Arabidopsis thaliana: one gene and its partner. The protein of the gene in region 1 purifies or fractionates together with the protein of each later gene. This does not show direct contact. Each region holds a gene or a part of one and is shown on either strand. Other genes may lie near its edges.

Region 1 (6,041 bases):
GAGAAATTAACTGAAATGGAGGATTATACAGTATGTATACTAAGGATTCACATTCTGTTATGATTTAGATAAAAATTACCGGAATGCTTTTCTTTCCAAACCAACAACTCAAGAAATATTCGTCTTTCCTTTCCCCAGAATGATAGGTATAAAGGACCAAATAGCAGTCCCCAGAATAGAGCTTTCCAATATCTTCTTTAGGTAAGGGAGTCTTGACTTTACCATTAACGTACCAAACCTGATACATAGACATAATGAATTATCAGAATGGATACATTCATAGCCAAATGTGTAAAATACCCGGAACATGTCACAAACAGACCTCCAATTTTCCACCACTTTCAAGCAGAGGTGGAATATCCTCATTCACTGGTGCACTTTTTGCAATGCCCTTGAGCCCAACGCCTTGTTGCTTCAGTAAAGCTAGAGAAATGGGGCATTGAAAATAGTCAGTCAGGGCTACAAGACCGTCAATGTTTTCTATAAAGATTTGAGTTTCATAGTGGTGTTTTACCAGCGACTTTTCCTCGTCCTTCTTCGTTACCAGGAGTGGCCGAGCCTGATGGCCAAGAGTCAAAGTTAGACTTGAAAGAATGGGACTCATAACCTTGGATTACACGAGTTACATGTGTTGCCTTTGGCCTATTTTCACTAGCAAGGAATTCCTGTAGATGAAAGGTAAAAAGTGAGAAGCCATGATTGAGATAGATATTCTAAGGACCGGAGAAATGTTTTTAATAGATTTCCATTCTTTACCTCAGCAGATTGACTAGCAGCTTTCCTCTCATCTACTTGAGTGACACGGCCAACCCAGATATATATCTCAGCGCCACAGTCCAAGAGGTAGCATTTAGTGTTTTCCAGCATAGATTTGGATAGGTCACCGTCTATTGGTTCCATCTTACCATCAGTGATGCTAAAGTTAAACAGCAACAACATATCAATCAATAACTCTATCATAATAATCTATTAAGTAAATTTTAAAATAGGTACTACTGCAGAAGATATAAGTATCAGGATGGCATGCATTATATCAAGAAGACAAAATTAGAAATTAACAGACCAATAAAGCTTAGGTGGAGTTGACTCCGGGACAATGTCATCATCATTGGCAACTTTCCTTCCGATTGGAGCAAAACCACCAAAGAGGACCCAAAATGCACCAGAATCTGATTCTGTATCTAATTTTCCGTCATCTGTTATAGCAGGAAAGTATGAATATAGATAAGTTTCCACACACAAAACCTATTCTTTAAGTATTAAAACACTGTTCATTGACTTAAAGGAAACTGAGGAAGAAGGTGCAATTGGCTTACCAACAATCGCAACATCACAAGTTCCTTCGTGATACTTGTCTTTTAAATACTGAACGACTTCCAAAGCTTTGGCTCTCTCCTGAATGTTTGAATTTGCACCATTGAACTGATAGATCTTTTCCTCGGTGTCCAAGATAAATACATCATCATGATTCAGTGATGAGCGGGCAAAAGGAACCTGCAAAAAAGAGGAACAGAAGAAAAAGTTGATGTACATTGGTAATCACCGTTCACTCGTTCTAATACAAGGAGAGTACAATGGTTAAAACCTGCTTCAAACGGATTGCACGTTTTCCTTTGCAAGTATATAACCGGGTCTCAAACACCTCTTCTTCAACTGTTTTGAAACCAGACGCAACACCACCCTCTAAGGGTATAATACATGGCTTGAAGTAAGACAAGAATTTGTCAGATTCATGACCCTGAATTTCCCGGTGTTGGACAGCACGGCCTCCAAGAACTGCATCGAGTTCAACTGTTTTAACAGCTGCTGTTCCAGCTTCATCCTAAAATCATCAAACCATAATTTAGTAAAACACAGTTTCACCTTTGCATTCTCTTCCAAAAACAGTCTTTACTAAATAAAAGAGTCTTGGAGATAAGTACCTGGCTTGTATCTTTACCAATCCAGAAATGTATATCAAACAAATAAGCACCCCCTTTATTCTGTGTTGTCTGCGCAAAGGGAAGATAACATTTCTCAAACATAAGTTAGTCTGTCTTGTAAGAGATCATAACTAAATATTTTTATAGAACACAGAAAACAGAGGAAAGAAAAGAGCAAAGAAAAGAATTACAAACCTGCAAGACAATGTAAGTATCTCCCATATAGAACTTTCCATGCTCAGACTTTGGTACAGGAACTGCCTCAAAATTCTCAATTCTCCAGATTTCAGTCCCTCTAATAACAAAAGTTAAGGTTCACAAGCTCAAACAGTCCAAACATTCAGGAAGAACATAATTAGATTGCTCATTTGATATCAAACACTAATGGGAAAGTAGTTATGTAGCTGAAAGGATACGGTTTCTGGCCAGCTCCTTGAAATGCAGGATCCAACACTTTTGTTGACATTGTATAACAGTCAAATCCTCTTTTTCTGTGTGTCAGGGAAAATTTATGTACTACAAACGCCAATGAACCTGTTGAGTCAAAAAAAAAAATACGGAACAAAGTTAAGAAAATGAGCAGATAATCAACCAAATCCTCCCATTTACTTGGAGATGAAGGATCTCAAGCATTTCTTCTTGGACTGTTTCTCAAGCAAAGCATTGGTCAATTCTGTAATTATAATTTGAGATTCATCTAGAAAATTTTAAATCCAATCTCGAAAGCTAGCTAGTGATCAAGAAACAGGAAAGGTCTACAGAGAGTCAGACACAGACACGTAAAGGATTTTGGCTCGATCAACCTTTAGAAATTAGAAAAACTCAAAACTTTGCGATTTCCAGGAATTGATCAAATGTGATTCAGAAGACCCAGCAGGAAAAAATTCTCGACTTTTCCGAAAAAGACGCAGCCAGATCGAGAAACTCAGATTCACAGATCATGAAACAGAGCAAGGAACAACCACGATCAAATCGGAAATCAGATGATCCATACATTTAGTCAAAATCGATCGAGGTAGAAAGAAGTACGAACCTGCACGAAGATCTTTGGGTGGCACTAAGAAAACGACGAAAGATGAAGAAGAACTGGCAAAGAAGACGAGGGAAGATGAAGAAGAAGAAGAGAAAAAAAGCTAAATTGAATAATTGAAAAGAGGTTGTGAGCTGTGTTTTTTTTCTCTCTAAAGCTTTTCTTTTTAATGCTTTTTCTTTCGTAACGTTTTTTGTTTCCTTAGATTTATTACAGTAGAGAGAGAGAGAGAGAGATTGAATTACTGCCAGACGACGAGGTCGAAGACGAAGAATATAGAGGAGGGAGACAAAGTTTTGAGAAAAGACGTTTAAAGAAGAGTCTGTCAATTTTTAAGGCCAAGTAAATTAGATCCGGTCGTGATTCAATTTCCTCCCGACCAATCTTGTTTTGCCTTTTTCTTTTTCTTTCTTTACCACACTTTTAATTCCAAAAATCCACATTAATCCCAAATTTAATACATATTGTTTTTTCGAAATTATGGTAATAACTGTAAAAATATTTTTTTTTTTTTTTTGTCATCCAAAATTAATTAGAGCTCAAAAGAGCCATTCCTGAAGAATTTTGTTTACATAAGTGATATGATGCGGTTGGACACGAACTTTACGCGCCAAATTATCCGCTTTGACATTTGCACTACGAGAAATTAAAGATAAAAAAAAACTTGAAAATTTTTTCTTGTCACTCTGCAATTCCTCCAAATACACTGAGAAAGCCGGTCATTCGGTTGGGGAAGACATCATCTTCACCAGATCCGAACAGTCTGTGAGAAACACAACATCTTGATTGTCGGCGCCAATCATGCACTTCATCGCCCATAGAAGAGCTTCCACTTCGGCATGTAGTGGGGATAGACTTCGTCTAAGGTTTGCTGCTCCCATTGTTGGCGTCTCTCCAATTGCTGATGTACAGTACCATCCTGTCCCAGAGAAAAAATCGTCTTTTTTCCATGACCCATCCACGTAACAACGATATCCCAAGAAATTGATATCAGGATAGATATCCCTCGCTCTACTCCTAGATCCGAAATTAGGAGTTTCATGATTTTCAACATGCAACTCAATTTGAGCTGACTTCCATGACTGTGCCTCACTTTTTGCGAAACATAATACCTTTAAGGGATCTTTATCGACATTGTCAAAAATCTTTTCATTCGTTGCCTTCCAAATATACCAAATTATCCATGGGTATGAAAAAGAATCAAAATCCGAAATAATCCTCCAAAATAAATAATCCAAATTCGCATAAATAGAGGCATATGGAAATATTCCTGCCGCCGAAGGAATCTGTGAAAGGGCCCATATCTGTCGCGCAGGGTGACATTGGAAAAGTACATGATTAATTGTTTCCTCTACGTTACCACATCAGACACACCCTGAATCACAATTAATACCTCTTTTCCGTAAATTATCTGTAACCGGCACACAACCCGCTAGAGTCTGCCACAAAAAATGACGCAATTTGGGCGGACACTGCACTTTCCAAATGAAAGCTTTTAAAGCTTTGATGTCTGGCCCAATAAAGGAAACATTTACATCCAAAGTTTCTAGCTTTGCCGTATGATATCCAGATTTAACTGAATATTTTCTGGACTTTGTAAAGTGCCAACCAAGAGTATCCTCCGTAGTTGACGCACCCAAGTGCAGAGCACTTATTAGTGAAACATCTTCTGGGACAAAAAGCTCATTTAATAAGTCAATCTTCCAGAAATTTGTTCGAGTGTCAATAAGACTTTGAACTTTTAGGCATGGATCAATAACTGAGCCATTACTTTTTGCTGGTCTCGGGAATTGAGTTGGAATCCACGAATCCTCCTAAACTGAAATGGACGCCCCAAAACCGACTCTTTTAATAAATCCTTTGTTAACCAGAGATCGATCAGAAACAATACTTCTTCATCCATAAGATGGAGAATATAATTTAATATTATCCAACGGATTGGATTTTCGGTAGTACCGACCTTTAAAGACCTTCGCAAACAATAAAAAAAAAAAATTTATCTATTTTTAGCTATTTTAATTAATATATTACCAATATTTTGGATTTTAATATAATATACATGGAAAAAAATAGGTCATCATTATACAATTGGAAACGTCGCTAATTTTTGTCTTGAAATATATATTGCATCTAAACTTATATATATATATATATATATATACTTACATACATTTATTGGATTTGTTGTACCATAAATAGCTACCAACCTAGACCTAGTTATATATAAACATTAACAAAAAAATGATGCAAATATTTGCAAGAAAAGATAGGTGAAATCATACTTGATTTGGATATAACCTATGTAGGTGTAGAATAGACCGTATAAGATCTTTTAACACAAATTAAAAAAAACTATCCAAATTCATTATACATAGTTAATATCATATAGAATGTTGTAAAAAAGAAAAGTATTTCGGAATAAATTATTTGATTTGGAGAGATTGGTCTCATCATTCGCTATTTCAGCATGACACGATGTCCTTTTTAGCATGTGAATTTGCACGATTCAACTCCTTTTTGAAGGATATGCACTTTTCGTATATTAAAAGAATACACTATAGTATTTCTTCGTAATAATATACTCTTTAACATGAAAAACAACAATCATGAATGAAATACAATAACCAGATAAATAGAGAACAGCCTTCTTTTCTACTTTTAGGCTTTTGGCAGATGTCATGGATGGATAATACTCCTTTTTTCTCTACTCTCGTTTTCAACTCAAAAAAAAAGAAGGAAAAAAAAAAGTTATGTCATGTATATAATCGTATTCGTAAATACATAGAAGAAGAAATTTCAGAATCAGCTACCATCATTCCATCAATGCTTTGCCAACTAGAGTTTGTTCAAACTCTTACAAACTTCTCTACTTGACTAATATAATTATGCATTTAAAAGTTCACCGTACCGTTTTCCATTTATATCTCTCCTTTTTGATAGTCTCATTCGCATATGATACACTTGACTTGAAACCTCCCAAAAAAAAAGGGTACAAAGTGTAGCTTCTATATGACCGATGGTACATAACAGACTTTCGACTACCATGCACTTAACTAGGATCCAAATCCCTCTCCCGTAGCCTATTTCAC
Region 2 (6,041 bases), on another chromosome or scaffold:
AGACGATTGTATTTTCTGTAACCACCACAATTGTGATTGAGACAAGAAACCAAGTATATACCAGGACGAGAGCCATCCGCAATTGCAAATGATAGGGTTCTAATATGATCAGCAACCACTCTATATGCCATGTCAACTCTGTCAACATCTTCCGGACCAACTTTTCCAGAATATGGCCTAGCTCCCGTTGCCTAAAAAAGTGAAAGCATCAACACCTAAACTTAAGATTCGCAACAACTAGGGTAAACAGAGCAATTTGAAGATTTTTTCAATCCTCTCACTAAGAAAAATACATGAAAAGTGACACAGCTAACAACGAATAATCTCCAGGATACCCATAGTAGAATGCCTTTATCATGAAATCCAAATTCAATAAACCAGAAATATTCAAAAACAATTGACGGAGTCTCGACGTAAAGCATAGAACCCATGATCCACTTCAAAATTGATGAACTAAAATGATGATAGTACTAATTAAGGTGACAAATGCGTCCCTAAGAGGAGGCCAAACAAAAATAACTCAATGAAACCATCATTAAACAGCTGTCATGAAACCATCAACAGAAGTTTTCACAAATTACCTTTTGGATGTCATCAAAGATAGGCATGAACACATCTGTATCATAGTTGCTCATTTTGTTTTGAAGAACAGAAGTCAACCTCTCGAAGCCCATCCCGGTATCAACATGCTTAGCAGGCAGAGGTTTTAGCGAGCCATCACTTTCTCGGTTGAACTATTTTGAAGACATAAGTAACATCCCAGTCAGAGGAAACAATTGGGAATATGATAGCACAGCTAAAGGAGCAATAACAATCTAGCTAACTGCACAATATAGAGTTTTCAGTAACACAATCTACAAAATCATTAAAACAATTGTGATATTGAGATAAAGATTAGTAAAATGGAACTAAATAACAATTGGGACAGAGAGGGTTTGTACCTGAATAAAGACAAGATTCCATATTTCTAAACATGTTGGATCGTCATTGTTAACTAAGGATGCAGCATCACGGTTACCAATGCGATCATAATGTATTTCAGTACAAGGTCCACACGGACCTGTGTCGCCCATTTCCCAGAAATTGTCCTGCAGTTTAATCAAAAGTTAAATGAAAGAAAAACAGCATTTAAAAACCCTTAAGTTTTACATTTTGTACAAGATTTTGACTGTAAATCATAAACAATGGTTTTTAAAGCCTGCCAACTACCAAACATGATAGCGTATTCCTAGCCAAAATGCATTCAAGCTTACAGTTGGTTGTCGTTAGCATTGACAAACAGATGTGTCAATATATACAAGAAACAATGGTGACAATACAAAGGCAACTTAGCTGAAGTACTTGTGAAGTAACCTCAGGAGAGAGGAAATCAATGAGTAGTGGATTCAAAAAAATTAGGTAACAGATTAAAAGTTATTATCTTAAATAATCAATACATACTTTGCAACCAAATGGCAGCACACGTCCAGATGGAAGAACCTTCAACCATATATCCCTAGCCTCATTATCAGGTTGAAGGCCAGCTTTCTCATCACCGCCAAAATATGTAGCGTAGATTCGATCAGTCGGTAGCCCATAGACCTGAGGCATGAAAACAGGGAGGTATCAACCTCAATGAAATAAACAACCTCAACGAAAAGAGAATAGTAACTTTACAAAATTATGAAATACTGTCACAAGGTATCTAACTGAAATGTACAACCAAATGAAAAGAGAAGAATCACTTTACAAAACTGAAATGTACAACCAAATGAAAAGAGAAGAATCACTTAACAAAATTGAGACATACCGTCCCAAGGGAGGGAGACAATAGTTTACTGAATAATACCATGTATATTTTTCTTAAATCAAGTAAACAGAGACAAATTTCCCAGGTATTTAATTACCTTGGTTAAGAGCTCCCAAGCCCATTCGATAGCTTCCTTCTTGAAATAATCTCCAAAGGACCAGTTACCAAGCATTTCAAAGAAGGTGTGATGGTACGTATCTTTGCCGACATCATCCAAATCATTATGCTTTCCACCAGCACGAATACACTTTTGGGTGTTACATGCCCGAGATAGCTTGCTAAGCTCAGTATTTGGATCGGCCGTACCCAAAAATATTGGCTTATACTGGTTCATTCCTTGAAAAACAGAGAAGTTTCAATGTCATTAATAATTCTATTTTTCGCCAGACATATCAAGAGAACTTAATTTACATAGCTCAGTATCAATATCAGAAAATTTCGACCAAAACTGAAATTGAGAAATTTGAATAAGTCCCAAAGCTTCAAAGACAAAAGAAGACAGAATAAGTCAACTCTATAGAATCTGAATTCCATAGATCAACTTGGACAAATTCCCAATCTTATCGGCAAAAACAGATATGAGGAATCGAAGTTATCGTACCAGCGTTAGCGAAGAGAAGAGTAGGATCATTATGAGGAACAACGGGGCTTGATGGCCAGAACTTGTGGCCTTTGCCTCTGAAGAAATCGACATAAGTATCCCGGACTCTCTTTGCTGGCCACTGAGTCTCCGATGGTTCGGAACCCGGCATGACTGCGACGGAGGAAGACGTCGACGAAGAGGAAGAAAAACGGAAGTGAGAGAAAAAAGGGCGGCGGAGATGGGAAGAGTAAAAAACCCTAGACGGAGGTTTGGTTGAAGAAATCAGAAGAGAAGCTGCCTTCACTAATCTCATTCAAACCAATAAAAGACCTTCTCTCTCTCCTCCTATCCTATTTTCTACCGTTAAAATTTATTTAATCCGATTCCTTTTCCGCAAGATATATTATTTTAAGGGATAATACTTAAAAAATAAAAAAAGTAAAATTTGGAAAATACATTTTGTTCATCAAAGGATAACATTAAAAAAAAAACGAGAGTAAATTTTGGTTCTCGTTTAGATAAACTGTTGGGTTTGCTGCCACTAGCCGTGAGACTGCCTCGCATGTTATTGTTTGTTTCGTTGTTGTTGTTGCTGTTGTCGTTGCCGCAAGTTTTGAATTTGTTTTGCTGCTACTGTTGCAAATTTTTGTATTCGTTTCTCAGATAATACTATAGTTTTACACGTAATTTTTTTTTTTCCAATCAACCAAATGTAATTCTAATATATTTTTGTTACTTGAATTTTTTTCATATTTGAGTTTTTCTCTTTTTATTATGTGGATTGATATGATCTATATATAAAAATTATTCTTATTCTTGTTAAATATTAATCTAAATACTATTTTTATAGTATAAAAAATGAATGATATTATTTTGATGTAAACTACCTAAAATTTTATAACAATAATGAGTTTTTACGCTATTGATCAAATTGGGTTGGATGGATTTCTGTTACATATTGGTTACAGTTATTAAAAGGGAAAAATGTTATTTAATACCTCAACTTTCAAATTATGACAGTTTTATACGTTAACTTTATATATGGTCATTTTAAACATGAAGTTATCGTTGATCACCATTTAAACCATGAATATTTTATTGACCAGGCCAAAAAAATTAGTCGTTAACGGATTATTCAACTCCCGTTAACACCTCCATTAACCATTCTAAACGACGTCGTTTTCGTTTTTCTTTAAAAAGAAATGACAGACCTGGGATTCGAACCCCTATCATTTGAGAAAAATCAAAGGTCATTTGACCACTCTACCTGCAAAGATTTCTCTGTCATTCTATACAAACACAGATACTTATATACGCTTAAAGTTCTTCTTCTTCATCTTTAACGAAACAAAACATTTCCATAGTAAAGCTTCCATTGAAGAACACCTCCGATTTTGAACACTTCGATTTCTCCATGGACTTCTACCATTTAATACAAGCCTCATCAAGCACCCCTATTCATTGAAGAACACCTCCAAACCTTTTTTTCCCGCCAAAAAAAAAAAAATCCCGCCAAAAATAAATTTCCCGCCAAAATTTTTTCTCGTAAATTTTGTTTCCCAGCAAAAAAAATGCTTTTAAAAATCCTTGTAAATTTTTTAAAAACTCTTTTAAAAAACCTTGTAAAGTTTTTTAAAATCTTTGGTAATTGCTAAAAACCCTTGTAAATCATTTTAAAACCTCTTAAAATCTTTATAAAGTCTTTAAAAACATAGGTAAATACTTTAAAACCCCTTTTTAAACCTTTGTAAATCATTTTAAAACTTTTTACAATAGTTTTACAAGATTTACAATCGTTTTTTAAGCATAAGTAAGTGGCATTGAATGATTTACAAGGGATTTTGAAAACTTATAAAAGGGTAAAACATGATTTACAATCGTTTTAAAGCATAAGTAAGTGGCATAAAATGATTTACAAGGGATTTAAAAAAGGTTAGCATGGTTTACAATCGTTTTTTAAGCATAAGTAAGTGGCATTGAATGATTTACAAGGGATTTTAAAAGCTTATAAAAGGGTAAAACATGATTTACAATCGTTTTTAAAGCATAAGTAAGTGGCATTGAATGATTTACAAGGGATTTTAAAAGCTTATAAAAGGGTAAAACATGATTTACAATCGTTTTTAAAGCATAAGTAAGTGGCATTGAATGATTTACAAGGGATTTTAAAAGCTTATAAAAAGGTAAAACATGATTTATCATCGTTTTTAAAGCATAAGTAAGTGGCATAAAATGATTTACAAGGATTTTTAAAAAGGGCTAGCATGGTTTACAATGTTTTTTTAAGCATAAGTAAGTGGCATTGGAATGATTTACAAGGGATTTTAAAAGCTTATAAAAGGGTAAAACATGATTTATAGTAACGAAAACGACATCGTTTAGAATGGTTAACGGAGGTGTTAACGGGAGTTGAATAATCCGTTAACGACTATTTTTTTTGGCCTGGTCAACGAAATATTCATGGTTTAAATGGTGGTCAACGATAACATCATGTTTAAAATGACCATATATAAAGTTGACGTATAAAACGGTTATAATTTGAAAATTAGGGTATTAAATAACATTTTTCTCGTTATTAAAAAGCAATATATCTCTGCAAATGGACACACCAAAAAGCCAAACACAATTTGATCAAATTACCATCATTACTCCAAATTATCATCGTTATTCAAAGTATTTCAAAGTTAAGACATAAGTTCGCAAGAAGACACTTCACATATCCAGCTACAGATGATAACTGGATGAACCTGTAAGAAATAAAAAGTTAAAAATGAAAGTCAGATACATCAACAAGAACCAGTACTAATTCGATTAGAGTCATTCACATCTAAAATCAATCTGAGTCCAGTTTTCAAAGAACACAGTTTCAATCACAGAGAGGCAGAAAAAACATACTTGATCAAGACCAAAAACTCCAAGAAATGTTGCAAGTTATGTCTTCAGTAGACAAAATAGATGCATATAATAAGAGACTAGCCATAGAGAATACTTGTGATATAAGAAGAAATCTGCAAAAAAAGAAGAAAAAATATTATTATTTTTACAGAAGGAAAAAAGATCTCGGATGAACTGATTCAGAAAAGTATTTGGACACAGAAAACTAGTAGTCGTTCATCAACGACGGAAGTAACTCCCTAGTTGCAGCAACTGCGTACCGCATATCCCTTAAGAGTTGTTTCTTTTCCAGCTGCTCATTTACAATGGTGACAAACTTGAGAACAAAAGAGAAGCTAACCTCAATATGCAGCATTGGTCGCTTTATATGCTGATCCCAGGGGTGTGCTTCATGAGCAACAATTGAAGCTAACATGTGAAGAGAGTTGGGAGCTGTTGGAGAAAATTTCATTATCTGGAAGAGAAAATATAGGTAATCATTAGGCTCTAATCTTTCTGCAGCATATATACTATCATACTTGACACACTTATTCACCTGATATGCAGAGCCAATGTTGGTTAAGAAAATGGAGGAGATTGGGAAGCAGATAATTGTAAGGTGTGGAGGTTTACCTCTAGCTATAACAGTTCTTGGAGGATTTCTGGCAATGATAAGTACATGGAACGAGTGGCAAAGAGTATATGAGAACATCAAATCATATGTTTCAAATGGAGTTAGTAGCAATGGAAGTAAGAACATGCTAATTGCATATGTTGCAATAGTAAGAGACGACA

Evidence for each region. Proteins that work in one complex are often made in the same cells at the same time.
Region 2: the proteins of VLN2 (region 1) and ALATS fractionate together in Arabidopsis thaliana (co-fractionation; one large-scale study listed by BioGRID). This does not show direct contact.

The regions. Positions count from the first base shown.
Region 1 is NC_003071.7:17,414,491-17,420,531, forward strand, and holds the start of VLN2 (villin 2), read right to left. Parts: upstream 3,331-6,041; 5' UTR 2,956-3,330; exon of another isoform or gene 2,726-2,955; intron 2,457-2,725; 5' UTR 2,389-2,456; coding exon 2,339-2,388; intron 2,218-2,338; coding exon 2,118-2,217; intron 1,992-2,117; coding exon 1,923-1,991; intron 1,823-1,922; coding exon 1,586-1,822; intron 1,495-1,585; coding exon 1,317-1,494; intron 1,197-1,316; coding exon 1,064-1,196; intron 917-1,063; coding exon 757-916; intron 666-756; coding exon 515-665; intron 424-514; coding exon 323-423; intron 239-322; coding exon 80-238; intron 1-79. UniProt on the Arabidopsis thaliana protein: Ca(2+)-regulated actin-binding protein. Involved in actin filaments bundling. Caps the barbed end of actin filaments and is able to sever them in a calcium-dependent manner. Required for the construction of actin collars in pollen tubes.
Region 2 is NC_003070.9:18,595,627-18,601,667, forward strand, and holds the start of ALATS (Alanyl-tRNA synthetase), read right to left. Parts: upstream 2,854-6,041; 5' UTR 2,686-2,853; coding exon 2,391-2,685; intron 2,126-2,390; coding exon 1,887-2,125; intron 1,582-1,886; coding exon 1,441-1,581; intron 1,089-1,440; coding exon 942-1,088; intron 735-941; coding exon 582-734; intron 192-581; coding exon 62-191; intron 1-61.